Lepisosteus oculatus: one gene and its partner. The protein of the gene in region 2 interacts with the protein of the main gene of each other region in a biochemical or structural test. Links are inferred from orthologs where the notes say so. Each region holds a gene or a part of one and is shown on either strand. Other genes may lie near its edges.

Region 1 (15,150 bases), on a different chromosome or scaffold from region 2:
CTTCATGCCTGGGCAGCTTGTTCCACACTCCCACCACCATCGGTGTAAAGAAGACCTCCTGCCCTAGTTGGAAGATCTCATTCAACTGTTTTTCAAAAGATGCCAGGGTGTTTATTGGCTTCAACAACTTGGCCAAATAGATTGTCCCAGACCTCTTCGACCTCTTATACTGTATATAAAAGTGCCCCCTGTTCTTATTCTTTCCTATAAAACATCCTGATTTTAGAGAACAAAAGATTCATAAATATAAGATTCCTTTAAGAATGAGAAACCTATCCATTCTTCAGACTGTATATATATAATGAGATTTTACCTTTATATTTTCTTGTATATTCTTTCTTGTTTGTCCAGCACAAACACCAAAAAAGCCCTTAAGACTGATGACAGGAAATGACCAGTAGATGTATACAGTCCCCACACCGGAGTATTTTCTCAATGGATAAAGAGGGTGTGGCACGCCATGCTTTTGGCTTCCCAGAGACAATTGCTGGAAATAAGCATTCACAAACACATTTTCAATGGTGTCTTTGTTTGCCAGAAGGACACTAAAACATCTTAAAGCTACTCTACAAAAAATGAATAATGTTCTTGATTTTTGTCACAATTTACTCATTTGCTCACCCAATTTCCCTTTGAGCAGTTTAGAAATATACTACTCTAACCCTCCCCAGACCTATTTATGAATGCATTTTAAGAAGCAGAAGGTTATGCCTAGGACCAAGTCTCAAGAAACAGAAACCCTCCCCAGACCTATTTATGAAAGCATTTTAAGAAGCAGAAGGATATGCCTAAGAACAGGTCTTGAGAAGCCTTCAGCGCCTGGTTATGCCTAAGAACAGGTCTTGAGAAGCCGAGAGTGCTTGTTTAATCCTATGAACAGGTCTTGAGAAGCCGACAGCGCTTGGCTATGTCTATGAACAGGTCTTGAGAAGCCGACAGCGCTTGGTTATGCCGAAGAACAGGTCTTGAGAAGCCGACAGCACTTGGTTCTGCTTAGGAGCAGGTCTTGAGAAGCTGATAGCGCTTGGTTCTGCTTAGGAGCAGGTCTTGAGAAGCCGACAGCGCTTGGTTCTGCTTAGGAGCAGGTCTTGAGTGTTTGGGAAGCAGGCAGTGCTTGGTTATGCTTAGGAACTGTGAAGCAGACAGTGCTTGGTTCGCTGTGTGTCACTTCCATATTCACTTAAAATTGAGGGCGATGCATCATCGATGCCTATCCATCACATTAGCACCTCAGTTAAAAACCTTGCTCTTAACCATCCGTTCCTATACCATGAGATCAGTTAAATGTATGATTGTGCCAAATATGATTTGCCTATTAAGAACAAGTTGTGCATTTTGGGTTGAGCTCAATGGCCAAGATTTAAAAATAGACAAAGGATGATTCCCCTTCTGAAACTGTCTGCTGACTCAGGCTCTTTCATTTCTTTCTGCAAACCAGCAGAGGATCCACTTCCTTAATGTCGTTCTTCATTTTGAACACAGTAAGTGTTACTGCAAGTGCCAGTCATCACTGGGCCACTATTAGCCCCTGTATATCACAGTTATGCCACTGTGGTTCCAAATCTTGTCGATGTCTATGCTGACATGCAGTGACCAATTTTGTAAATCACCAAGCATTTAAAAATATGAAACCACAACCCTCACCATAACAGACTGATCTATGTCTCTTTCTCAGTCTCTTAACATTACAGTGCTTGTTTGTGGAGCCCATCCTGATACCACAGGACCCAAAAGCAGGACTACACCTCAGACAGAATACCAGTCCATTGCAGGACACGTATATGTGCACTTACTGAGCAATTTAGTGATGCCTTCGGGCACAGCAATGATGTCGCTGGAGTATAGGAAGAAACCACAGACCGTGGTCAAAATTCACACAAAAAACATCCCAAGCCAGAACTGATTCTAGGACCTAAGACAGTGTTAACTGCCCCCCCACCTCATCAGTGCTCCAGTACTGAAATCTAGCACAGCCCTGCAGAAGAGTCAGCTTCTGAGCAAGAGAGAAAGGGTGATCATATCTGTCACGTCTGTCCACAATTGTCAATTGTCAGTGGATTGTTTTTCCTCTCCACTCTGTGTGTGCTCTAAACTGGCAAAGGGTACCCCTTATTTTCCTAGAAGGACCACACCAATCCCTTACGTTGCCCGAATCTGAAGCTGTGATGATGTCTTGAGACTGAGACTGAGACTGGGAAAACTGCCTGCAGGCTTGCACGGTGGACTGTGACACTGGAGATGACATCAACACACTGCACAAACACAGGGCCTTCCTGGTGCCTGATTCCTCCGCTCTGCCAGTCCCTATTGTCAAGGGCCGATCTTGAAAGCACGAGGCTTGTAAATTTTATATTTTCCTTTTGACAAAGGCAGAAGAGAAGGGTGGTGGGGGGCTGATGCAGGGAAGAAGGAGTGAAGAAATATTACCATTATCCTCTGGTTGTCCGGACTGACTCACAACTTTATCTGCTACCCTGCTGGGATGTAGCTGATCCAGACCAGGACAAGATCGTTTCTCATGTGCTACAGCTGACCATCGGAACAGGATCCTACACGTTACAGCTATGATAATAGTGTCTCTGCGTACTGAACACCCACCCACTCCCAGCAGGGAATAAAACGGTCCATTTTCCCACGGATGTGATCATACTGTATGTATGTGCAGTAAGTGCAGTGGGAAAGCACGAAAAAATCCATTATTTCAGTCCAATAAAGCCTCTTGGGCAACATGATTATGCAGTGGTTAACATTGCTGCCTCACAGCGCTAGGGTCCTGGGCTCAGTGCCAGTTCCAGACCCGGGGTGCTATCTGTGTGGAGTTTGCATGTTCCCCCCATGTTTGTGTGGGTTTCCTCCAGCTGCCCTGGCTTCTTCCCACAGTCCAAAGGCATAGGGGTGAGTTCAATGGCTCTGGTGTGAGTGTATGCATGTTTATGTCCTGTGAGTCTGTGTCCTGTGATGGACTGGTGTCCCATCCAGGGTGTACCCTGCCTTGTGCCCATTGCTTGCCAGGATAGGCTCTGGCTCCCCTGAGACCCTGAATTGGATAAAGCAGTTCAAGAATAATGGATAAATGAAGCCTGTTATTATCCCATTATTCTAACTGCGTTTAAGCTTTATAAGTATGGTATCTGGGGGCTATCCACTGGCTCTGAAGTGGTGCAGCATATTGTACTGTGTACAGTATATTGCTGATATGGCTCCAGAGGGGTCAGAGGTGTCTCCGTGAACAGCAGAGCAGGCGAGCTGCTCACTTTGTGGACTGAGGGGTAGGTGAGTGCAGAGTGAGATCACGCTGTACACAATGCTGTGGTTACAGAGAGTGTTGCCCACAAGCCACATGGGTGTAGTTATAGCTGTACTAAACTGACAGGTTATTATCATTCGTGACTGGGCTGATGCTTTTATCCACAGAGAGTTGCAGAGTTTACAGTGACCTGTTTTGTTAACCTATACAGTTGTGACTTCCATTTATAGAGCCGGAGTGGCTGGAGGGACCTGGATGAAATATCAGGATCGGGGGACGAAGGGATCCACCCACAGGGCTTGCAGTCAGGAATCTGGATCCCAAACTGCCGCTGTTTCCAGAACACAGCCGGTAGCTGTCTGATTACCTTGAAATGGAAGATCTCCCTTTGCAGAGTGGAGAAACTCCATGCTGTCTGTGTGAAAGGGAGAGGGCCTCCCATTTGTGGCAGAAATGTGGCTGGTTTTATTCATTTTCAAGGCCGAGGCCTTAATCCCACTGATTCTCAAACACCATAGCTTCCTTTGGCATCTGAGCCACACCCTGTAGAGGACTCAGCTACACTGTCAGTGATGATCAGGATGGCTCCACCTAGTGGTCTCCCGGGGATTGTCTCTGTACAGCCTGAACGGACTGTAACTGCTGACCCTACAGCCTGCTCTGGCTTTGCACTGTCCAGTTGCTGTGCTATTATTCCACAGCACCATGCATCAATCCACCCTTCGCTGGGAAGCTGCTGATTGCTGCTGAAAGTCACAACAAGCAGCAGCTTATTCCCTGCGATCTCAGTGTGAAACTCCCCTGCAGTGCACTGCAGGCCATAGACACTCAGGGGCAGTTTAAGGACAGTGATTCACCTAGCCAGGCAGCTGGGGTGCGAGGAAACTAGAGCAACCAGAAAACGCCCATGCGAGCACAGGTGAGAGCATGCAAACTGAAGGTGCCCCCAACTGAAATCAACTCCACGACACACGAATTTTATGCCACACTTGTGCAAACCCCTCTATACTAAAGTATGTTACTTCATGTACTCTTTACATTGTATTACTTAGTGCATTTTAATACAGAGAGGACCTCTCAAAGAAAGCCCAGTCAGTAAGGTATGGGGCAAATGAGTGGCACTGCTCATCAATAATACATACTGTATATTAAGGATATCTGTGCAAGGCTGAATATATCATTCCCAAAACAGTACAGTAAGCTACACCTGGGTGTGACAGCACCAAGAAGATAAAAAAAATCCAGATTGTTTTGAAGGCCCTACTAAATTATATAACAATTCACCATAGTAACAATTGTATGGTAATATAATAATAATGTTTCTTTATTAGCCCTGTACAATTTCTTGCAGTAGGAATTTGTCTTTTCACATACCCCAGCTTTTCTCCATGGAGACACAGACACAGAGACAGGGAGAGAAGCTTGGGGTCAGAGCGCAGGGTCAGCCATTGTACAGTGCCCCTGGAGCAGTTAGGGTTAAGGGCCTTGCTCAGGGGCCCAACGGAGTAGGATTCCTCTGCCGGCCACAGGATTTGAACCGGCAACCTTCCAGTCACAGGGGCAGATCCTTAGCCTCAGAGCCACCACTCCGCCCTACCACATTGTAGTACCAGCATGAGCAAATACGTGATTTTTACGAAGTGGAGCACAACACGGTAATTCTGTTTTACTAAAGTCTCAGTACTCCCCTACATTACAGTACATGTTACAGCTGAGCGTGGAATAGTTCGCAACTGTCAAACAATAGCACCGCTGTATCAGGTTTTACCAAGACACGGGAAGGTGATACAGTAGGTCTGGTACTGTTTCACCTGGGCATAAGCACAATCGCTGACTACGGGGAAAAGGGCGACACCCGGGCAGCCTGGCTTGGCTCGGATGTGAACAGAGGGAGGAAACTGGCATCAACAGTAAACGCACCGCGGCACCAGCTGATAGACCGTCGTACTTGAGTCAGGAGAGTAACCTGGAAAAACAAATTAGCGAGAAGGCACTTCACCGACTCCCCAAAGAACTGGTTTTATTGCCTCGCTATAACTATTAAATGCCGCCATCATCTTGTTTAGAAAAGAAAAGAAGTTTTAACGGTCCGTTTGCTCCAAGCGTTGGTCCAAACTCGGATGTCATTATACTTCGAATAAAAACGTAAGCTGGGTAACTGACGGTCTCCGTCGCCTCGTGTCTTAATTTATGACTTACTTAAGATAATCGATACAAAAAATAAGTAAGAAACAACTCGCACGGTGGGGTGGCTGTTACATTCACCGAACGGAAGTTATTTTACTGTTCATTTTTTTAACTAAGCCCATGTCTATACGGGGTTAATGGTGAACTTACGTTTTAAAAAGAATAAGTTATTAAAAGAATAAGAATTATTAAGAATAATAAAGTTGCCTCTTTTTTTTCTGTTTGCACATCACATTCTTAAGGTACATGTCAACCGCTAGGATGGTCATATTTAAGCACGTTTAAAAGGCCGTCTCACCCATAAGGTGCCATTCAATTGTATGGAGAAAATAGGTCAGAGATTGATGGGCTGTTTATGCAGAATACTGATGCCAGTGGAAGCCGTTTGTTTTGCGTCTGCAGGCACGACATTTTCCAGACACTGATTTGTATAAATATGTTAATTATTTATTTAGCTTACATCCAGATGCATCGGAACGACTGGAAACTAATTCTGTCGTTTTGTAGTGGGAGGTACTGTACATTGAAAGGCGTTGGTATGTACAGTGAGCCGGATACAGGCTGCTCTAGAGCAAGTTTCACGATGACTGTTGTGGTTGTGTTTTCTAAGGGGAGTGTTGAAGATGGAGGCATTGAGAAAATAAAGAAAATCTCGGGTAGATTCCAGTTCAAGACGATGTCATCCGAGCTCTTTTCTTATTATTTACCATGTGGTCTCGATTAGTTGGCAGCAGCTCGAATATATACCTACTGTTTTCTGCGCAAACGGGACCAAAGTAAGACTGGCCGTAGATAACGCATGATTTGGGGTTTTGAGACTGTTTGCAGCGGAATTCCTGGTGTCTTTCATTCAGCAAGAACAAAAGAGAGCGTAAACAAATGAACGCGTGAGCCCAAAACAAGTGGTAACCAAGCGAAGGAAACAGAGGTGAAAAGAGATGAATACATACGTAATGAGAAATAAGAGTGTTTTCGCACTTACTCCGTGCGGGCGAGTCGCTTAAGTCAGCCGGGGACGGGAAGATGCTTTTTCTGCCTTTCGGGGTAAGAGGGTGAAAGTTGGCGATTTCCAGCTGCTTCTGGGGGCTTGGCAAGCAATCCGTTTGCAAGTCCGCTCGTCCCTCCTGGCTTCGGCTTTAACGGTATCGATCTGCTTTTGCCGATGTATCGGATTTGGTTTCAGCGCTACGAACGTCCACTCTGGGTCGTCTAACCGGCTTCTCTATGGAAACGCCTTTTTTTCCCCTTCCTCCTCGGAGCCCTGTCTGACTCTGGCTCTACACAGACACACACATCCACACACACATTTTTTGAAGCTGATGTCACACGTTATCCGGTCAGCAAATCCCTCCTCCTTCTCATTTCTCCCTCTCTCTCTCCCTGATTCTTTTCTCCTCTGTAAACGCCGGTCAGTGTGTGCAGGGTATGTTAAAGCAAGGGGGAGAGAGGATATTTCACTGTACTTCGTCCCGGCTGGTCTCGCTATTTGGACGAGCTTCACGTTGTTGAACGACAGAAGGTCTTTAGGAATGTGACATCGGTCTGTTCTGCTCGCCGGCCCCCGAAGCCCGTTTTGTAACGACAGGGAGAAGGGGAGTCAAGGATCGCTGCTGTACTGTGTTATACAATCGCATATTGCACGATGCAGGTTACATCTGTACAAAACAAAAATTCAGACCTCCCAAGTACTCACTACATCCCAGCTAGTACAGGAGAGTCGTTTCGTCTAAGATTCATTTTCTTAGTTACTACTGTCCAACTAGGAATGAACGAAATCTAATATCGAATTTTCACCGCAAAAAAATGCTTTCTGCCTGTGTTGTTGATGATTCCGTTCAAGTCTGCGCTCTCCCCCAACACAAACTTGCAAAGTCATCCTTTATAAACACATTCCGTACTTCACGTCGCTGGTCTTTTCTTTGATTACATGGCCAGATTCACGCTTTGCCTTTCGTATGTCAAACGCTGTGCAAAGGAGTGCCCCAGTCACGTTTGGCATCAGTAAGCCTCGTTCATTAAAAAAAAAGTTAAAAGGAGATGGATCCGTCAGCATGACTCATAGAAAAAAAAACCCTTGCAATTTCACTGACCTTGACCACATTTTTAATCTCATTCACGATCCTTTGCCATGACACAAGCGGCAATGAATAACTATGACACTGGTTCTATAAAAGGCATAATATTTCGGCACAAACACGGTGGCATAGTGCAGAAGACATGGGCACTCTGGGTACAGGCAGCCTCAGTGAACAGCTGAATGGTTTTGGTCAGTAACACCTGCCCAGCGGTGCCGGGCCTGTTGTCACGCCGCTGACGTCATTATTCGCGGCTTTGACGTGCTGTGGGTGGTTCTCCCGCCTAGCCGCCTCGACCCCTTTCTCGCTCACGCATGTCCATCCCGTTTTCTTGAATGAATAGAGACCACTCCAGTCCTTGTGTACCTGCCTGTTTGAGAAGTACCGTTCAAATTGTGACTGCCCTGCATAAAACATTGCTGATGTGACTACGTGTCCAGGCAATGACTTCAATCAAGTCATTAAGGTCTGAGATGGGCTGACAATCAGAAAAAAAATATAACACTGCAGCAGTTCTATATTGGGTGGCCTGATGTCACAGTGGTTACGATTGCTGCTTTGCATCACTGTGTGGTGTTTTGATGTTTTCCCCTTGTTTGCATGGGTTTCTTTTGGGATCTCCGGTTTCCTCCCACAGTCCAGTGACATACTGGTAGGTTAATTGGCTTCTGGAAAAATTGACCCTTGGAGTGAATGTGTGTGTGATGATGTGTGTGTCTGTGTGTGCCCTGTGATGGACCGGCGTCCTGTCCAGGGTGTACCCTGCCTTGTGACTGATGCTTGCTGGGATAGACTCCAACTCACCTGCAAATTTGCAACCTGCAAATTTGGATGAAGCAGTTGGATGGATGGATATATATCTCTTCCAGTAGTTCTTGGCACGAGGGAAATTCACATTGCTGGCTGCAATGTTGGCAAACCAGTAGGTGGTGCTCTTCTCACTTTGCTGAATCACTGTGCGAGCAGAACAATGAACCTCATTGCGTTGTGTTTCAGATAAGATCCTAGGGAACTGACGTTATTCAAATCTCAACTTATCTATTTGAATGACAGTGTTTGTTATTGTTCTATAGCTGCTTGTTAATATAATATTGTTATGAACAGATGTTCATCATCCAGGTGGTGCTACACATAGCTGGGTGGAGGGGAGTCCCCATTCCCTGTAAATCAATTTGAATGGAGTTTCCAGAAAAGTGCTATATTAGTGTAAAGATTATTATTATTATTATTTATCACCCGATCTTACCTATTCATCAAAGATGTCCAAGTGCAACACATAATTGTTTTCCCTGTGGTTTATTAGATCAATCCAGCTGGCTTAAGGGTGTCTTGTATTGCATTGTAGACGAGTCTATAAAGTAAACAGAAGAAGTAACCAGTGTTGTCCAGATAAAGCAGAAGGGCTAGAATAAGAACATAAGAAAGCTTCCAAAAACAAGGTGTCTGTTATACCCATTGAGCTTGGTTGCTCATAACCTAATGCCAATAGAATCAAGAGCAGCTGCTTATTAAAGGATCCTACAGAAGTGGTTGAATCAACGTAGCCAGGCAGCTTGTTCCCTATACCCACCACCCTTTGTGTAAAGATGCACCCTTTGTTCTCAGTCCTAATTACCACTGTCCTCCCAACTACCCCTTGCGGTTTGGGGGTCCACAATATATTGCACCTGTGATGGGTTGGAGTCTTGTCTAGCGTGTGTACCCCACTTTGCCACAATAGGCCCCAGCTCCCCCTCGACCCTGTATTTGATGTAGTGGTTAGAAAATGCAGGGATGGATTTATTGCTCAGCAAGGAAGGCTAAAGAGGCTCAATACCTTTATTCTGCCCCTGAGGGACAATCTGCAGGGCCCCAGAATTCCTGTACTCCCTTCTCTCTTCATTGAGCTGTTCCCAGGGCAGGAAATACCCTCTCTGGAACTCCACCACCAGATTGAGCCCAACAGTCAGGCTGCAGTCTCAGTCAGGTGCCTAGGTCCTAGTGCTGCCATGCTGTGTCTGAATCACATTAGGATCTCAACTTTGTTTTGCACTTCCTTTCATTCAAATTCTAGTTCTAATCTGTGGACGGAGACAGAAATATTTGGCCAGAGGCAGGAGTGGCAGCCTTTACAATAGAAAGCTCTGTGTTTACTGCTCTGTGTTTACTGCAGTTGAATGGGAGAGGAAATAAAAATGAGGACACGAGTAACAAGCAACTTGTGATCAGAGATCACAAGTTTGACTATTTTTAGGAAACGGCAGTGCGGTGCTATGACGAACAGGAACAAACTGCTAAGAGAACCAAAACAAGAGAGAAAGCGAAAGATTCCTCAGAACACACAAAAATTCAGAACTGCCAAATCCCACGAAACCGGCTCTTTCTGAACTTCCCAACTGCCTGATAAACTAGCAACAGACAGTTTCAATCTCCTTTTTTTACTCCATTTTTCCCTTTCACATTTGCATCAGAATGGAAATCATTTCCACTAATTGCTCCCCTCATTAACGCCATGAGCCCGGGAACCTTCTTGAAAAGACGGAGACATGAGAGGGAAACAAAATCGCAAAGTCATATTCATTCCTTATCAATTCAGCCTCCTCGTCTCCCCTGCTTTTCATTCTGCGTTTGAATTGCAGAGCTATTCAGCCACTCAAGTCATAGAGACCTGCAATCTGGTCGCTTTTGTCTTAATTTTGGTGAGTAATGTGTGGCTTTTGGAAAGACTAAGAAAATAAAAATCCCAAGAGAGAGAAATTAAAATGGAAATAACAAAATGAGTCAATCCTATTCATCCCTCTCCTCATCCCCAAAGCACTTTAACCCTGCTAGAGCTGGAAAGAGAGAGGAATACTAATCAATAGATTTACGGCTGGTTTAGACACTCTGGGCTGATAACAACGTGTGATGCCCAGAGGGAGCAGGGAGGAGTAGACCAGTGGTCATTACTTCTCACTTTAATCCCTGAGTTAACAAACCCCTTGCCTACTTCTCTCTTCTACAATACATACAGAGTTAGAAAGGAAGCTGTGTCAGACGTCCAGAGGAAGTCCAGTGGGAACTCAATTTACAGAGGACAGCTGTAGAGATTTAGTGGATGTGGAAAATACCTGATAAGTCAACAACAATATCAATACTGCGAAACCTTTCACCTCTAAGGCATAAACAGACGTACAGATTTGTCCTTGTACACTCAGTGATCTGTGAATCTGTTGTGTGTGTGTGCTCTCCACATAATTGCATTGATTCATCATGAATTTTAGTTGCGTTCTTCCCACGGAAGTCATTAGCATTACTACCACAGCATTAATTACACACCTGCACTGTTTCAACAATTACAAGCCCTGTTAAACACAATACATCAAGCCGAGGCATGAACCCGTTAGCGTTAAATTGCACACTGAAGGAATAGATACCTCTGCCGATTTACCGGTGACCTCCTGAACTGAATTCATGATGTGGGAACTTATGACAACAGAATAGAAAAATGGCTCAAATTGTTCTGCTGAAACAAGACAGGGCCATAAAGAAGTCCAGCACCCTGGACTCGTAACTCAGGGGTCTAGCCGTACACAAGACTGCCGCCCGGGTGGAGCGCTCTGAAGTCCTGCTCCGGGGGGCACAAGTGGGTTTGACTCCACAAGAAATCACAGTCCCCAAGGGCAATGAAGATAAGATAAGCTACAATCACTGTATTAGCCATATACATTTTCTTGCATTAAGAATTTGTCTTTTCACATACCCTAGCTTGCTCTCCAGGAGACGCACAGATGGGGAGAGAGGAGCTTTGGGTCAGAGGGCAGGGTCAGCCATTTATACAGCTAAGGGGCACAACAGAGTAGGATTCCTCTGCCAGCTGCAGGATTTGAACCAGCAACCTTCAAGCCACAGATCCTTAGCTACAGTGCCACCACTCTGCCCCAAAAGCCGAGCACAGTGCGGGCTCTAGGAATTCAGAGATTACTAGAGACAAGGCAAGCTACGACTGTGTCTGGCTGTAGCAGCTGGACTTCAGAGCTAGCCTTAGTTACTTCCATCCCTCCATTTTCTAACCAGTGCAGGGTCTCGGGGGAGATGAAGCCTAACCCAGCAAGCAATGGGAGCAAGGTGGGATACTCCCTGGATGTCAGTCCATCACAGGGCACACACAGATACAGACACGCTCACACTCACACCACGGCCAATTTTCCCAGAAGCATGTCTTTGGACTGTGGCAGAAACTGTGGCACCTATAGCAAACCCATGCAGACACAGGGAGAACATACTTTACAAACTCCAGGCAGATAACACACCAAATTTAGAACAGAACCCAGGACCCCAGTGCTGCAATTCAGCAATGCTTACCACTGCTCCACTGTGCAGCCCAATTACTTCCAGTTTCTGTTAAAATAAAGGGCAATTACCACGTAGTCTAAATTTCAGACTACCTCTTTTTTTCTGCTTTTCTCCTCACAACCCTATACAGCTGCTCAGGTTCAATATAAACCTGAAAGACAAATGGGGTTGACTTAAGATTTTAGCTTTTGGCTGATTTTCCTTGGGCTCCCATCCTGATATTCGGTAGATCTGCAAAGAGAATTAATGGTGACAAAAAATAATTGTGCCTACAAACGCTTAAGTCTCTTTTAGAGATTCTTAGTGAGACAGGAAAAGGAACGTTGAGAATTGACCTCGATGACCTTTCTTGTGGGAGAGGGAGTCACTACTGTATTTCTAAACCCATAATGGGACAGGCTGGCACCCCAGTGATGGAGGAGAGATTACAGAGCTGACCGAAGAAAGGAAACAGACAGACTGCTTACCTCTGTCTCTTCGGCAGATGGAGCAGATTCAATAGGGGCTTATGCTGAGACACTGACACAGGCAGTTTTTTGTGTTGCAGGGCACAGCCACACGGGCTCGGACAGCAAACAATAAACAAGTCTGCTTTCTTCCAGGAACAAGACCATCTTTGACGGAGCTCAGGAGACAAAATACCGGGGAGTGTTTGAGACAAGAGGCACGGACAACAGGGAGAACGAGGCATTTCATTTTGGCTGTGTTTCCAAAATAAAAGTCAGACAGGGAGCAACATGCAGAAAGTGTCCTTAAAGCAGGGGGACACCTTTAGAGGTCAAGAGCTGTGCTGCTGGGAATGGTGGGGGGTTGCTACAGGATGACTGCAAGCACTATGTCAGAGGTATCTGACCTCTGTCTGTTCCTCTTGTGCTTGCTATTTGTGCCATCAGTTTGAGAAAGCACTTATGCAAGGTGGTATACAATATTACAAGCTACCTCCATCCATCCATGTTCTAACCATTTCTTCCAATTCTGGATCATGGGGGAGCCAGAGTCCATCCCAGCAAGCAATGGGCGCAAGGCGAGATATACCCTGGAAAGTGTCACAAAGCGTCTTTCAGGACCCTATGCAGACAGCACAATCCGGAAGGGAGTGAGTAAACACAGGGAAAAAAGACTAGGATAGGGGCCGGAAGAAGAACAGGGGGCGTGTCCAAAGGTGCGCTGGTGCTCGGGGGGGGGGGTGTCCAGGGAAAACAAGTCCCAGGGAGTCCCTTAGAATATCCTGGGAAAGCCAATGTCCAAAGCCGGGTGATCCATCCTGACAGAAACGAAAGTTAAAAGCCGGAGCAGGATCCAGCGAAGGGTCGGGGAGATAGAAGGGGTAACAGGGCCAGGCGCTCCCAGTCCCAGACCCAGATGGTCAGGATGTCGTTGTGAAGCCTATGCCGTCAAGTCGCTCCTGGACTCGTGGGTAGGTGGGCTTCTGGGCCTCCATCTTCCAAAGCTGAGCCCAGATTGGCAGGAACATCTGGCTTTTATAGCACTGGGTCGGGAACCGGAGGCAGATGCAGGAGATTAAGAATAAACAAGGGAAGGCTGGAGCGTCCTTAAGAGGAGGGGTTTACGATTGTGACAGATAGGACACCAGTCCTTCTCAGAGCAGACAAACAAGGACACAAACACATGTCTTTGGACTGTGGAAGGAAACCCAAGCGAGCATGAACATACTAACATACTGTCTGTGCAATAGCAGTTCCTGGAGAGCAGTAAACCAGTGTAAAGAGTGTCAAGGATCTGCGCCTGTGGCTGGAAGGTTGCTGGTTCATATCCCGCAGCCAGCAGGGGAATCCTGCTCCGTTGGGCCCCCGAGCAAGGCCCTTAACCCCAACTGCTCCAGGGGCGCTGTACAAATGGCTGACCCTGCACTCTGACCCCAAGCTTCACTCCCTGTCTGTGTGTCTCATGGAGAGCAAGCTGGGTTATGTGAAAAGTTCCTTATACAAGAAATTGTAGCTGGCCAATAAAGTGATCTTATGACACTCCATGCTCACACACTGGTCCCTCTACCCTTCCAGGACTGCTTTTTTGTAAAACCAAAAAAAGAAAGAGAGAGAACCAGACAGGTTAACATAAATCAGGGCAGGGTTAGTCACGCACGCTGGCAACCTGGGAAAACAGTTTGATGGACACGGAGAGCAGGGTAGATCAATCAGAGTAGGAGCTGCGGGGCCTCTTGTCATCTCCTCCATGGTTCAGCAGTTTCGGCTTTGAATCTGCAGCATTTTTCAGTCACGAAAACTACCCCCCTCAAGCAATCCTGCTACTGCACATAGATACACACTTACAAACACCTGCACACACACAGATACATACACACTTACAAACACCCGAACACACAGATCAACACACATACACACTTCTAAACACCCGAACACACAGATCAACACACATACACACTTCTAAACACCCGAACACACAGATCAACACGCATACACAAATATACGGTATATACAAGAATAACACACACCTGCACACATACATTAACAGATAAACACACATTTACAAACACCTGCACAAACACCTGCACACGCACAAACATATACACACATGTACACTTACAAACACAGATAAAGACATTGATACACGTGAAGAAACACATACACTGATATGCACCCTCACTTGTACACACTCAATGATAAACACACACGTGTACCACACACATAGACACAGCTACAGAAATATATATTTACACATACAGTACAGTTGCACAAGAGCTAACAGGCTCACAGATATACACAACATATGGAAATGCGCAACACGACCCCCCTCCCTTCCTGTCCACACTAACCTCAGCCATAAACCAGCTTCCCTGCACTTCAACAATGTCACCTGGTGATGGATCAATAACTAGTCAATACTTCATTCACCTCAGCTGATTTTTTCAGTGACTAAGAGGAGGCTGAGAGTGAGCACCTGGTGAGCTGGGGAAAACTCTGTACCAGTCAGCTCCAAACCCCAGTGACGGACAAGCCTGTTCTGCGTTCGTCAGCTCGCCACTATTTTTCTGCGACGCACCTCTTTACTTTCCCTGACAGCGATGTGCTATCCATCCTTCGGTCTACCTTTCCATATACTCAATCCACAAATCTAAATCTGTCTACACGTCTTTTCTAGTCATATGTCTGGACACTCAATACTGAAATCTTTATGATGGCTGTTTTATTTACTCAAAATTGTGGTGGGTTATTTATATTCATAAAAATGTGATTTGAAAAAAAAACACAGACTGTGAAATGTATAGTGGTATATGGTTGTTTGACACATTTGAACAATAAAGTTTAATTTAAAAATGTAACCTTATCTACAGTATCAATCAATCCG
Region 2 (15,150 bases):
TTTTTTTTTTATTGTTGGGGATGACGTGTTCTTATGTAAGTTAAACAGGAAACTTTTCTAGCAGTGTTTAGGGCAGCGTCCAGTGTTGTCGAAGCCCACGCTGTGGTAAAGTGAACGATTGCCAGACGATTGCTCCTGGCCTGAGTGGAAGGACCTCGGTTTGTACTGATGTGGCAGGGCCTTCTGCCACCACAAAAAATAATCTGCTGAAATTGCCTCCCCTCTTGAAATGCACCTTCCTGAGTGTTGCTTTTCAAAAACAACAAATCGGTTTGTTTTTTCCGCAAATTTAAAGAGTCATTGTGGATGTTTATTGATGCAGAGCAATTGGATGATGGCTCTTTTCACATATTCAAAGTAAAAGAGGCAAAGCTTTTGCACCACAAAAGAACAGGCAGATGGCATTAAGGGGAAGAAAGTTTATTACTACGGTTGGATTATTCTTGGGTATAGTGATAACCTAAGGTTCTGTCCTGTCTGCTGCAGGGGAAAGCCTGAATGACAATGTAGGTACTGTAGCTCTCTTATGTAGCAGCATGAAAAGCAAGAAAGCATCCCAGTTGTTCCTCGTGCCTCACTTGGGCTGTCCGCAAGGGGAACATCTCTGCTGACTAGCTATGTCGCGTTCTGAGTGGTGACACTCTCCTCCTGTGCCCTGGCATCCTTCCCCTTGATGGACGAGTTTCCTGGCAGGAAAATCTGCGTCCCTGCCTCCTCCTCCTCCTCCATGGAGTTAATTGAAATGGTCTGGGAGATGTGCTCCCGGCTTGTCTTCACGGAACAGAAGGGTAATTTTATCACCCTCAGCCGTGATGAGTCTGGGCTTCATCTTGGACACGGCGAGGCGAAGTTCTTCGTCCGTTTCGGAGGCAGGAAAGTTGGCCGTGGTGCTGATTTATTGCACGGCTCTGCGTGGTGGTGCGGGCCACTGGTCACTGCCCTCCTCGGTTCTTCAAGGCTGTCTGGGGGTTCTGCAGTTATCTTGTCATGCCTAAGTTACAGTAACCCTTGTTACCGCTCAGTGGGTTCACGCGGCAACTTGTGTTCCACTTGTTGGTGACCAAAGGTTCAAAGGTTTGACCTCGGAAGCTCTTCAGCCTGGCGCGGTTCAGTGCCGGCCCGCTGTGCCTCCTGTGGCACTCTGAACCCTGCCAGGCACCGAACGCCCACAGCCCATGTGTACAGCAGCTGATTCATAGGTGGGATCAGGCCGTTATGAGTCAAGCTCCCTGTTTAAAGAAGCTGACGAGGAAAGCTGTGAGCTCGTACAGTTTTTCTCGGCGCTGCTGTCTCGGCGTGGGCTGCGCTGCGACGAGCCCTGCGCTGTGCCCACTCTGACCACAGCAGGATTTCCTGCAGGAGGAGACGTTCGCCGCGAGGTAATGTGAGCCCCCCCACGGCTCTCGGTGTTTGAGCTCCTAGGAATCCACCTGAGTTTATCACTCTGCTGCACTGAGGCTTTGTAGGAAATGGAGGCTTTCCGCATAGTTGACTGATGGTTCCTACTTAAAACATGCTATTTTTAATGTTTCTACAGTACCTAAATGAGATGCGTGTCCTTTGAATAGCTGTCTCGGGCAGCTCCGTAGTGGTTTTTCTGCAACGGATGCACTCCTAGTTCCTGTTGCAGACTAATGGATCATGTCCATTAATTTCACTTTCCTAATCCAGGTAATGTGCTCTCTGTCTGTTTAATGTAATCAGCTTTCAGCAAACAGGCGGTTAATCACTGACAAAGCAAGAGGAATTCCAGCAATGCAGCAGGGTGTCGGATAACACAAGGCACTTTGCTCACACAGGAAACACAGGAACCTCACCCCCCTGACCTTGCAGAGACCACCAGGAGTTATTGAAAACGAGCAGAATCTAATCTGCCCAGCAGCACCTAATTGGTACAGTAGTCACCCTTTCTACTGCGGTAAAACGTAAATACTTTTCGAAGAAACAATTGACAAGAAGCCATTGTCCCTCCCCCTACCTGCTGTTTACCTTTGGCTTCTTTGTTGTGCAAGTTCCGTTTTGGAACAAGCATTAGCAGCTGTTTACGTTGTCGGAGTGAGGTTACAGCTGCTGCTCTGTGCAGCAGTAAAATACTTCTCTAATGCCAGGTTAATAAAAGAATGAGATGAGCCTGCATCACTCCAGCCCATTAATAATGACAATTCCTTACGCTTCAATAGAGCTTTTCTGGACACTCCACTCAAAGCACTTTACGGGTAATGGGGACGCCCACCAGTGTGCAGCCCCACCTGGATGATGTGGCGGCAGTACTCTCCCCACACACCAGCTCTCAGTGGGGAGGAGAGCAGAGTTCGTAGATGGGGATTATTGTTAGCAGTGAGGCGGCTAAGACATGGGAGGCTCAGAGGAAGCAGTGTGTGTGATGCCTTATGTTTTGGTGAAATGTGCAGGCGTGCTGGGCGAGGTACACATGATGATACCAGCCATTGCAGGAACTGCACTTACGCAGCCCTGAGTTTTTTTGTTTGTTCAGGATATTCGAGTTACGGTCATGCACTGACTCTCTGCTGCCCATGTGGTTGATAATTGTTTGGTCCTTTGCTCCTGAGCTGCTGTTTCTCAGTCAGTGCATTATTGGAGTCCTGATGCTGGAAAGGAGCTCTGTAATTTAACCCAGATTGATTGATGGGATGTATAATATTGTATGCAATTGTGTTCACTTTCCGAAACATATTTCTCCTCTGAAATCTTTCCAGAAACGTACGCTGCATACACTCCCAGTCTTAACGGAATGCCCTTCTCTAACAGGCTAAAAGAAACAAATCTTTGAGTCTTAAAGAAGACTACTGAGGGACTTAATTTATCTGTTTAAAATCCTAAAAGGCATGAACAAAATCAGTCCTGCTGACTTCTCCAGAATCAACATTGTAACATGAGCCAGAGAACATGCGTGAAAGCTACCTGGAAGTTCATTTTAAAGTGAGAACTGGAGGCTCTGTTACTGCTTGTTACTTTTTTTGTAAAGAATTTTTTGCATCTTCGCATTTTTTGTGAAGCTGAAGCCTTTCGCCATTACTTAGCTGGTGTGTAGTTTCCTTGGTTGTTTTTGCTTAGTATTGAAATTAAGCAAAGCCACGTTGCTTTTAGGTAAATGGTGCGTTGGGCTGCGTTTGACTTCTCCCTTTGTACGGGATGCCAGAATACCATACTGAAAGAGCGTCGTATCGGGACTGCTGAGGTCTGGGCTTCCTGCTTGTACAGTATGTGGTCGTGATTCTCAGGAAGTGAGACTGTCTCGCATGGCCTTACTCCTACCAGCTGGCCTGGATCCAGGCTGTTCCTACGGGTCAGCCAGCCGGGGTTTGCATTGCTCCCTGGGGGACCCCATTGTCCAACATTTCTTTCAACAAGTGCCCCACGGATTAGAGGCGAAAACGAGTCAGAATGTTTGTTAATTATACAAGCAGTTCCCAACACAGACGGGCGCTTAGGAGAGGGGACTGTGGTGATGCTACATCTAAAGACAGTTTGGGGAAAAAATGAATGGTGCCCCCTCCTCTGAGGGGTGTTTTTAATAAAATAAGGGTATTGGTAAGAGGCACCCCTTCTCTCTCTCTCTCTCTACTCCTCTTCTCTCCCTCTCCCCGTCCTCCGCGCTCTCCGTTTAATTCAAACAGCCGCGGTGCCCTGGTTATTGCCCTCTCAGGATCGCTGCGTGATGTCAGGTTCGGACCGCATGCCCTCCCTTACAGAAAGGACAGTTCAGACGGCTTACCAGTAAACCCCGGGGAGGAGTGGGGGGAGGGCGTGTGCCGGCGGAGAGGGCACGGTACAGACGGCACTGTAACTTCAGCAGCTGGTCGGCTGGGAGAATCTTTTAATCTCTTCCCGACATGGCGGGGGTCGGCGGATTAAGTCGAAACACCCGCCCGAGTGCCTTCCCCTTGTGGGGCTCAGTTACAGGGCGGGCAGGCGAGCGCGCTCTGGGGGCCCCGGTGCTGCGGATTTTCTTTGTCATTTTGCAAACGGCGAATCCGAGTCGCCGGTGGAATTCAGCCAGCCCACAAGGATCGCCTGCGGCCGGGCGATGTCCGTCTGTCTGCGGCAGAAGTTCGAGAGCGGCGGCGGGGTTTTCCGCGGGGAGCATGTGAGTGAGATTATGGGCGTCGGCGGAGGGAAGGGTGCTGTGATGGATCGGGTCATGTGAATTTCTGTGGGTTTTGACACACTTTTCAGGAAGGCTCAGACAGGGTTGAGCCACTCGCAGTGCTGCTGTAGTTCAGCATCCGGGATTGGTTGCTCACAAGTCTTGCACTGAATTCCCAGGCGATCTCTCTTTTGCTGGTTTCATTTGATCTTTTTACAGTCCGCCCTAAACCCTTGTTTCTCTCTAGAAACGGAAGTCTTCCTGTCGCTTTGTTTACACCGTGGACTTTCATTTTCTCCTCGTGGAGAACTCGGTTGGCAGGGGAGGTGGATTGATGCTGCAGAGGTGACAGCCGGCGCCGGTTGAGTCCAGCGCCTGAGCAGACGCACCGGATGGTTAGGGCTCAGCATGGAGGAATAGGAAAGTGGGTTGGGCGCCCCCTTTTGTGGCACGCACGGTCCAGCTGTTTCTGGTGCAGCTGGGTTGACTTGGGTCAGTGATTTGTGAGTGTTTGAGTTGGGTCCCCGTCGTAGTCATCTCTGTCCAAGACTAAACTCCTTCGGCCTGTCAGAGGCGAACGCTCTCTGTGGGGCCACGGGTGTATCTGGTTGCTCTTCCCTGGTCTGGTTCCAGAGCAACACTATCTCCCATGCCCGGGTTGTGTTTCAGTGCCTCTGGGCAGACGTTTCAGAGTTGTGATGTTAAGGTTTCCTCCGGGAACTCGGGCTAGAGACCCGCGGCTCGCCTGGGGGCTGGTGGAACCATCTGGTTCAGCACTCCCGCGGGGCACGGCTGCAGCCATTTCAGTGGGCATAAAAGAACTGCTCACATGGGCTCACCGTTCTGCTTAGCAGCGTTTTTATTCTGTCGGGGCTTTCTCGCGTGTCCTGAAAATGTCGGAAGTCAGCTGAGGTCAGCGTGTCGGTAGTCCGCTCCCTCTGACTGCAGCAGCTCTTTTCAACAGTCGTTTTCTGTCACACCTTTTGGCTTTTCCAGTAGTCTCAATTTGCATTTGGCAGGTTTTTACAGGAGCCCTTTAAAACATCAGTTTCTAAAGGCGTGGAACAACTTGATCAAATAAACAGGTGGTTCATTCAGTTCAGTCATTCAGAGATCATTGGGAGAAAACATCAGCTCTCAAGGATCAGTGTTCCCTTCGTTGATACTTCACTTGCTTGACTGATCAACTGCCTAAATAAGTGTCCCTAATCCTTATCAGGTCATTTAAACTGACCTGCAGGAATAATGGAATTGGGACCAGGGTTGGGGACTCCTCGTCTGTACAGAATATGCAAATTCTTCAATCCTCCCCTGAAGCTGTTGATTGTGGAAGATGTACTACTGTAGCTTCCTGCATGCCTGCCTGTGCAGAGAGGCACGTCTGTACGAGTTCTGAGCCCAGCCTGTCATCACTTCAAGAGAACAGAGCTCATGCGGGGGGCCTCAGGGTGGGCTTTCCTGTGTGGCTCCTTTTTACCAGGTGATTGCTGGTCCCTCGTTTTCCTGAGCCGAAGGATGTCTGCATCGCACATCTCTACTTCCTCTTGGAAGGGCAGTCACAGCAGAGTTCAAAATGCAGCTGCTTTTTGGCCATATTCTTTCTTCTTTGGTTGTATTGCCCAGATATTCTTTGTCCTGTGCTGGGTCACTTTTTTTTTTAATTGAAAAAAGCAATTGTAGTCTCATGTTCTACCCTGCGTATCGGGCATCGCAGGCCATGGTACAGAATTTTGAAACAGCATGAGATAGGTCACGACCCGGATGTTATTGACGTATGCTGTATTGGAAAGATGCCGTTTTAAAGAACATTTTCAGCTTTACCGGTTTGAGCTGCAATTCGTTTTAAAATTCCATAAACAGGAAGCAGAACAGCTGGTCCTGGCAGAGATGAGGTCTGTCTGTTACATATTCTGTGATCTGTGAGTCTCGATGCCTAACGAGGTAGAGAGAGACAGGTAAACGATCCTGCTTCTGTCTTTCTGCAGGACCATCTGCCGACAGAAGAAACTATTTTTTTAAACAACAAAACAAGATTTGGAAGCACGTTTTAGTGTATTGTTTTTGCAAGCATGTCAGTTTAGGTGCGTTATTCTGTGTGAATCCCAGTCCCTATCAGGGTAACTTGGTGAATAATTTCATGAACCGACCATGCGATAAAGTTTTGAATTGAACCTTTCTTGTGCACTTGACTAACAACATGCAATGCCCTCTGTCAGCTCCCAGAATAAATGTTTCTTCTTAAAACAGAAAACACACTCTGGCATGACGTTTTATTGTGCAGAGGGTGGTCCATTCCTGCCTGTTGCTCGAATGGGTTCTGACATGTCTTTAGCGGAGTAAGAGAACTAATCTTCCCAGTCTGACACTTGCTCTGAAAATGATTAGCCCAAGGTCACTTCTCGTCAGTAGCTTGGCTGCACTTCAATAAACGCCTCAGGGCTGCCAGCCTGCCTCTGTTAAGGCTGTAGTCCAGTCTCCTGAGTCTTTCTGGGCCTGTCACCGGTTCCATCAGCAACTGCTCTTGGGGTGACAGGAGACTGTAGCAGGATCTCCTCTGAATCCGCTGTGCCTCATGGTTGAGACTTTGATCCAATCAGCATCGTTGACATTGTTGAGTGCTCCAGAAAGGTCAGAGGTCAGACACATTTGTTCTTACTGGACTTTTTCTGGAGGAGGAGAGTTGCAACTGCTAGCAATTTTCCCTTTTGCGTCATTTCCTAGGGATGATTGTTAGTGATCAAGAAGTATCAGAAGAGCAGTCAGGGTTGTTGTGGAGATGCATCTAGTTTTTATTGGCAGCTGAGTTTTTGGAGGAAAGGTTTCATTTGAACTGGTTTCCCCCCACAGGCCAAAAACATATTGGTAGCTTAACTGGCTTCTAGAAGAATTTGCTCTGGTCCGAGTGCGTATGTGTCTCTGTTCATGTTTGCGTGTGCCCTAGAATAGACTGGCATCACATCCTGAACCTTGAGCCCATTGCTTGTGGAGTTAGGCTTCATCGACCCTGAATTGGATGAAACGGGATGGGTGGATGGTCTCATTAGAAAATAAGCTACATAAGGGATTCAGGAGACAAACCAACTGTCCTGGCAGTTCTCTGGCATGGAGCAGTGTCGATGGGTCAGGGCTGGAGTCTGAGCTGCTGAATTTCCAAAGTACTTGCATTTTGCCTGGTCTACAGGAAGGATCCTGCAAATTCTGTTCCGACTTCTAGACAGGGTGACGTCTAGTGAAAGTGAAACCTCCTGAGGCCAAAGGCCAGCTCTCCTCACTGCGTCACAGGTTTCCCTTACTGACCACATGCAGGCTGAGACCTGCCGAGACGAGCACCTCCCCCCCCCCCCCCCCACTGCCTGAAGCAGAGTCTCTTTTTAACACTCCAGATTTATTTTGTGTGTCTGATCGCACCAGCGCCAAGAGCCGACGCGACTGCGTGACACACGCTGACATTTCGCTTAGACGTTCACATGCTGCATTCGAGCCTTGTCTCCGAGACCAGACGTGTGATCCCAGGAAAGATCGGAGGCATCTGTTGTGTTACTGTTGTGTTTCGCAGCAGCGGCCCTTCGGAGATGTCGTTGTTTTGCGGGTGGGTTTGTTTATCCGTCGCCTCTCCGGCTTTTGTGCAAGGCTTGAACGTTCCTCGGAGAGCAGCCTTTTTAATTGAATTAGCACTTAGCCGCTCTGTCGCGGAGAGGGATCGGTGAGCGCCGCGTGTGCGTGGCGGAGCGGGTCCGCGCCTCTCACTTCTCCTCTCCGCTTCCCGGCCAGGCCACACATCCTGGTGCGTCTGCTGCGCTCTGCCCTGGCAACTTCCCCTCCTCGCGCGGGAGACGGGCTCCTGCCTCTCTGATGGCAGCATGCTTGCGCTGCTGACAGAATGCAAACCGTATAGGCTGTCTCTGGGACTGCAGAGGATGGACAGGAGTGTTGTCGTCGCCTCTCTGTGCTCCTCGTGTGAATATCAGGTACTGTGCTTCTGCCAGAGGTCTTCTCTGCTCGGCGTCGTAGATGAGTTTCCGTGCGTGTCCAGGTTTTTTTTCTTTCCGTAGAGCCAATTACTGTAAGGTGCGGTATCTGAAGTAAGGGTCAGTGTTTTTTTTTAGATTAATATTTAGCTCCCACGAGGAGCAGCCTGTGTTCGCTGAGCGATTTCCCACATAAGATACTCGTTTGTGATTAACCCTTCACCGGTTCTGTGCTGTTACCCTGTGCGTGGCTCTTTTATCATGAGCGCTGTACAGTGGGTTGAGTCTAACAGACTTCTCATTTTTATGATTGAAATGTGGCCTGCTCTCCCGGGGATTAGTTTCACATTTACAATATGCATCTGTCCTAAATTGACTTCTTCCACATTCTCAAGGTTCAGCTTGACAAAGATGAGCTTTGCCTATTGTAAGGCTCCCTTCTGGAGTCAGATATCCATTTCCATTTATTGGGGAAAAATCTCATCGCTGAGGATGAACCTCTGAGAGCCTAGTTTAACGAGTGTAGTTCCTGGTTGTTTCTCGTAAGAGTCATTCATGCGCAGCGCACTGATCTGCAAACTCTTTCTGACGCGAGAAATGTCTCCTGCTCGTGCTGAGCATCTACAGATCACACCTTTTGAGAGAGAGACAAGTGTTTTGAGATTCTGTGCTTTTGTCAGTGTTCTGCTCACACAAGTCTCTTATCTCAGTACCACTAAGAGCCCTATAGTATCGGCTTCCTGATTCCGAAGGCATGCAGATGCCGAGATCTCCAGGTTTTTAGCCTTTTCCTCGGGGTTAGTATCTTTGTAGTTATTTGTCAAGGCTGCGTCGTACCTTTTGAAGTCGAAGCGTGTATAAAAAAAAGTTCCGGTGGCAGTGGGGGGGGGGCATTGTGTGTCTGATGAGGAAAGTGTGCAGCGTGACTCAGTGCTGTAGCTGTACGAGTGCAGTTTCGGACTTGGAGGTTTTCCCAGCGCAGGCGGGTGGCAGAAGGGAGACAGGAAGAGGAGGGGAAGCAGGAGAAGGCACAGCGAAGAGTTAACGAGAGAGAGAGAGAAGCGAAGGGCCCTCTTCCTTAGTCACCTCCTCCACTCCCACCTGCTGATGCCTGCGAGAGGGGTAGCATGGCAACAGTGTGGGAGCTGTCAAACGCGATCCTCCCCTGCCTGCAGGACTGCACACATCGCCGCCACAGCTCGCTGCCTCCATTACAGGCAATGGAGGATTCGGCCGCGCCGCCGGGCCCGCGCCGCCCGGGCTGTCCCGCTTCCTAGCCCCGCTCTCCTGCTGCCCCCCGGGGGCTGGGTGCTGATGGGCATGGGTGATGCTGTGGCACAGAGCAGCTCGCGGGGCAAGACAAAGCCGTGGGACGGCGGGACGGCCTATCACGTATGTGGGGGCGTGTGGGAGCGCCCGTGGTTGTTGGGGCGGGGTTCCTGGAGGGGGGGAGAGGGGAGAGGGGAGAGGAGGTAGGGCAGCACGTGCGAGGCTCGTCAGGCCTTCCTATTCCTGCTTTCCTCCCACCTGCTTTTAACACCGAAACGCGCTGGGCTGCCTTGAGCCGGGAGCTCACCCTGCCTTCTCTTCCCTGACTGTCGTCCAGGACGAGGGGCACGTCAAGGAGATTGCCATCACCCACCACGTCAAGGAGGGCCACGAGAAGGCCGACCCGCGGCAGTTTGAGCTGAGGAAGGTGCTGGGCCAAGGCTCTTTCGGGAAGGTGAGTGTGTGGGGGGGCGGCGGGGAGTGGGCTGGATGTGGTTTTAGAGAGAAACGCTTTGAGGACCGAATGCGTGTCTTGCAAGTGCACGCAGTACACCCTTTTATTTTTACTGCCTTTTTCAGGGACAGATAGGTTTCAGTTGAGGGATCTAGTCATGCACAGACCTGGTAATGGCGGGTACTCGATGGCCCTCAGAGACCACCCTGTGAGCAATCAGAAATAGATTAAGTGTGAGCATTGTTTACAAATCATTTCAACCATTGGACATGTGCAAGGGAATTGAGTAGGATTTTCAAAAATGTTCTTGTCAATTGCTTTGTTTGGATATGTGTTACAGCCTTTAAGGCTGGATGGGTGGCATGCATGTGACCCTTGACTGATTTTAGCTGTGCCCTCCACTGCTGTAGTGTGAGCTGTGTGATGAGCATGGAGATGAGCATTCTCAGCTAGTGGGGGCATATGGTAGTTAATATGACTAGGAACAAGTAAAGGTTTATTCCATGCTGAAAAGAGAAGAAACAAAACGCAAAGTTTCAGCTGTGGAGCCTTCTTCGGGTGTCAGTATTATTAGTCTTTCTTGGCTGGTGATAGCCATGCATGCCTCGTGTACGTTTTTCAGGCAGTGTGAGGTTTTTGCAATTGGACCTCTTCTTGTTTGTGCCGAGCTGAGTCCTGGGGCATCTGTTTACTTGCGTCTGGTGTCCTGAGCCCAGATCAGGGATCAGAACATCCTATTTGCACTGTTGCAGCTAACTCTGCGGATTTGCCTTTTAAAGCGTGCGTGCTTCGGCAGGAATTCGGCAAGCATGCAGCGCTAATGGCTGGCCCACAGTGGCGTCTCTGTCTCTGCTCTCTGGAGCTGAAAGGGCCCTTTATTCCAGGAGCATCACCCCGTGTCCTGCCTGCCTTGTCAGGGGGCCTGTGCTCGGATGAGAACTCATTAGCTGATGCACCAGTGGAGCGCGGATATGCAAGGTGAAGGGCATTGTCTCGGGGTGCTCCTCTGTGCCGTGTGGGTTCCCACCAAGTTCTCATGGGCCCTCCGGCGGTGACCTTAGTGCTGGTAATGACCTCTGAGCTCCACTGCCCCTCAAAGCCCTTCTCCTCTGCCGCCCAGCCTGGAGAACCCATCTAGGCCAATTTGTCTGACTCTCCGAACGATATTATTAATCAGCTGATAGCATCCAGTGCTCCTGTACACTGGTCTACTGGGGCTGCTGTGTGAGAGAACCTAGTCCAGCCTCGAGGACGTCAAGTGCTGAAAGAAGGACTCCCCACCCCACTTAGGCCATCTCTGCTGTGTCTTGTAACTTCTGGACTTGTCCACCACAGGTATTCCTTGTGAAGAAGATCACGGGCCCTGATGCTGGACAGCTTTATGCTATGAAGGTGCTTAAGAAGGCAACACTTAAAGGTAAATGTTTTCTTACTGTCAGAAATCCACTCATCTTGTCTGAGACACAGTCATGTCATGGTATAAGCAAGCAATGCTCTAAACTTATATTAATTGATGAAGTTACAATTCAGTGTCCTGAATTGTGTCCTCAGTGTTTTTGAATCCAGAGTTTTAAAGCAAGGCCAGACTGTTCAGGCCTTTAGTGCTGATGTATGCAATTTACGTGATCCAATATATCTTACCCTGTTGAGGCTGATGTGTTTTTCTTCAGAATAATGAGCATTTAATTTGTTTGTTTCTGAGGTTTTTAATCGGCATTTCAAACTTTTAAATATTGTTGTGGCAGCCTTTATAAGTATGGTATGGTAAGTCATTCACATAGAAAAAGGGTACAGAATTGTACACCTCAATTGTGGCAGCTTTCAACAAAAAAGCTGCAATGCCTCTACATTTATAATTTGATCTTTGTTCTGGATGTTATACCTCCTGTTAGCAATATTAAGCCTCTCAGTGCCCAAGGAACTGTTTCGGGTGTTTACTTTTTGACTACAGACTGATGTCAGCCCGATCCTCACAGCGTGACGGTGTATTTGTAGGACTCACTGCACATCTCCAGGCCAGTGCACACACATGCCTACAGTGCTGTCTTTGTGCACAGCTCTTTGTTTCTGGTCATTATTAACATCATTTCTCAGGGCAACACCCCCTCTGTTTATACATTGTGTGTCTGAAATAAAGCCTTGTCCCATATGTGGCCTCCTTTTCCCAGGCCTTTAATGTTTGAAATGACAGGAAGCTGCTTGAACTAGAACCTCTCAGACAGATTAATTATAGACTCCTGTAAGACAGAATGTTACTTCCTGTCTTGGTATTTGCCACAGTGTTGCCACAAGTCTTAATAGATATTGTGCTTGTGTCTGTGACTCTTCTTAATGCCTGATTGCATCCATAATTGCCTGATCACAACTCCAGATGGAAAGAGCCTTTCTTCTCCCAGTCTCTCCTTAGTGTTGCTAAGTACTCTTTGGAATCGAGCACAGCTTCCACTGTGGAGCGGTTTGGTCCTTTTTTGTGTTTAAGAACCGAAATCTCGTGCTAATTACACTAGCAAAGCAGAAATGCAGTGTGTTGGAAGTCAGCTGAATGTCGATCATTAATGTCATGTTCAAAGGAACAAAGAAAGTGTTTTTTTTTGGCTTCTGCAAGAGTTTGCAGTTGCTGTGTCCCCCGAAATGAATTATATCTCTGTTACTCCATTCACTACTAAGTTGTTCTGCTGATGTTTTTATCCAAACCTGCTTAAATTATACCCGTAAATACAGCTGGGCATTTTACTGGAGCGGTCTGATGGAAAGACCCTGGCCAAACATAAAACACTTGGGATCTGCCCCTCCAAGCTGCTGCCATCTTGGCACAGTTTAGAAAAGCTGTGGAGAGTTTCCTGCTTCGGGGCTGGATAGCCTCCACATGCTTTTTCTTTGTCCCCTGGTTTCTGGATGTCTCTTCTGGCCATGCCGAAGGAAAGTGCTGATGCAGACAGCAGTGAGCTCTGCTTCAGAATCTTTGACACAGCGGAGTCTGGGAATCGCTCTGAATCGGAACAGCTCGTAAACAGCCGGAGCCACAGCAGTCTGCGTCTGGCCTTAAATTGCTCTCTGTACTCATTTATTGTCAGATCATTAAGGTTAATCAACATCGGTGAATGCAGTGTCACTAGCAATGCAGCATGGTGTTTATTCCTTTCGCAGTACAGCGCTGCCCTTTAGAGGGGTCAAGACAGAGATGGAAGGAATTCCCTTCCGGCTTCATAAAGCACGTAAAAGCACTTAATATAAGAGTCTGTTTTCAGCAGCTCTGGGTTTGAGAGTGGCGTATTCTGCTCTTCTGCTGTGTGCTAGGTTTAGCAGTGAAACAATAGGCTTCAGCAGAGATTTGGCGTCTTTTATACCATAGAGTGACACAAAACACAGAGGCATCCCGATCGTCCCTAGGTACCAAAGAGACCAAAGACGGAGGGCAAGAGGGGAGGGTTGTCTTTTCTTACAGTCATTGAGTTGATGTTTTCAAACAGGCTGTTTCATAGTGAGCACCCCCAGAGAAGGTGACATAATCCAATAGGTTCCATCTTTTGTGAAAATAACAGCCGTTGAAGGGCAGTCTGGACCGGGCCCTAATGTGACACTGCCGTGCTAGTATCCCCTACCTGGTTTTAAGTCTCAAGCCTGTTTCGCTTTAAAAACCTGTTCAGCATCCTGTCCTCATAAAGCCATGTAAGCCATGACTGGCCATAGATTCTGTGAATGCTGCCACTTTGAATGGCACTGTGAGGACTGACAGCAATTTGGACACATTGAACAGATGCCTGTGCCAGTATTCTACCCAATTTATAAATAATTTGACTGGTTCTCAAGCTGCATCATCCGTGCCATCACAAAATCTTTTTTATAAAATAAACCAAGTGGTCTAAATATGTGTGTTGAATACTAATGAAACTGGCATATTTGAGGAAAAAACCTGCTAATAATTTGCTTGAATATGGAATGCCGTTCTCTTTACATCAGAAAATTGCCTCATGATCAGTGGCTGGATATCCAAAATAGTCTTTTAAAAAATAAAGTTCTGCAGCTTTTAATTCAAGATTTTTTGTCAGGTTTAGACACCACGCAGTGGTCATAAAAGAAATGCCACAATACAGGTAAATGCGCTTCAGAAAGGCCTGAGCTTTTACCAATTGGAATGTTGTTCAGTTAGATTTACGGAGAAGGGTAGATTTTCATACTGTATATTTCTGGCATTCTTCCTTTGCATGCCTGAATGAAACAGGAAGTGAACAGGTTTCTCCATAACGCTTGAGAGGGCTTTAGAAACTACTTTTCTGAATCTTCTACCACCAAAAATAGATCAACATGACATTGAGTGTTAATAACGTGGTGAGAATCAACCTCTAGTAATTAATGTAATGAATGTATTACATGGATATTAACTAAAATGAGATTGCTCATTGATTAAAAAAATGCTTTCTTAATGGGTAGGTCAGGGTTAATAACCATCTTGCAGTGCAATTTATGAAGGTTAATTTGCCATTAAAGTGTAATTAGTTTTTACTTCCATCACTGGCCCTGAATATAGAGAGGTCCGTGAGAGCTGATGAAGAGGAATTCGGAATGCAGCGAAGGGTCTGACTAATGAATGCGTTCAGAAAAACGACAGACGTCTCTCTTAGCACTTTGATCAAGTCCCCCTGGCGCCGTCCATGAGTCAGTGTGATAGCAGGCTCCAGCAGGAGGCTGCGTTTATCTCTGCCTGAGTCCTTTTGTCTCGTCCTTTCAGTCAGAGATCGCGTTCGAACAAAAATGGAACGCGACATCCTGGTGGAGGTGAATCACCCCTTCATCGTGAAGCTGCATTATGGTAAGAGCCGATTCGGGAGCCATATGTTGCCATGCTTGGTTTGCCAGCAGCTCCTAATGTTCTAAAACCAAGGAGATTAAATTATTGTTCCTATTAAAAGTCACTAACTTTTTTTTTTAAATAGCATTTACTATAGCATATAGTATCCCAGCCCTGAACCATGGGCCTGTTGGTCTTTTTATTTAAATATCGCAAATATAGAGAACTCTAATCTAAACTGCTTGGAGTATGGAAGCATTTTCCCAGACAGTAGTGTATCTGTTTAATGATGCCCCGTAAGGGCTGTGTTAGAAGTGCACAGTTCTGTACTGCTGGATTTCTGTCAAGAACGTATAGTTGCCCATTGCCATGCCTTACCATCATTCAGCCCTCTTGGCCCTCGCCTGGAGGTAGTCCTGAGGTATGCTGTGCGGTGCTGACTCCTGCCTGGTCACTTTGTTTCAGCGTTCCAGACAGAAGGGAAGCTCTATCTCATTCTGGACTTTCTCAGGGGAGGAGATCTGTTCACCCGCCTGTCTAAAGAGGTACGGATCAAGCAGAA

The links.
Region 1: the proteins of ribosomal protein S6 kinase alpha-3 (region 2) and astrocytic phosphoprotein PEA-15 form a complex in vitro, tested with the Homo sapiens proteins (2 studies listed by BioGRID). The link is inferred for Lepisosteus oculatus from reciprocal best matches to the Homo sapiens genes RPS6KA3 and PEA15.

Annotation. Positions count from the first base shown.
Region 1 is NC_090699.1:9,325,568-9,340,717, forward strand, and holds the start of astrocytic phosphoprotein PEA-15, read right to left. Parts: upstream 6,933-15,150; 5' UTR 6,385-6,932; intron 1-6,384. UniProt on the Homo sapiens protein: Blocks Ras-mediated inhibition of integrin activation and modulates the ERK MAP kinase cascade. Inhibits RPS6KA3 activities by retaining it in the cytoplasm. Inhibits both TNFRSF6- and TNFRSF1A-mediated CASP8 activity and apoptosis.
Region 2 is NC_090700.1:4,618,209-4,633,358, reverse strand, and holds the start of ribosomal protein S6 kinase alpha-3, read left to right. Parts: upstream 1-8,989; 5' UTR 8,990-9,183; coding exon 9,184-9,468; intron 9,469-9,682; coding exon 9,683-9,799; intron 9,800-11,134; coding exon 11,135-11,216; intron 11,217-14,528; coding exon 14,529-14,609; intron 14,610-15,053; coding exon 15,054-15,133; intron 15,134-15,150. UniProt on the Homo sapiens protein: Serine/threonine-protein kinase that acts downstream of ERK (MAPK1/ERK2 and MAPK3/ERK1) signaling and mediates mitogenic and stress-induced activation of the transcription factors CREB1, ETV1/ER81 and NR4A1/NUR77, regulates translation through RPS6 and EIF4B phosphorylation, and mediates cellular proliferation, survival, and differentiation by modulating mTOR signaling and repressing pro-apoptotic function of BAD and DAPK1.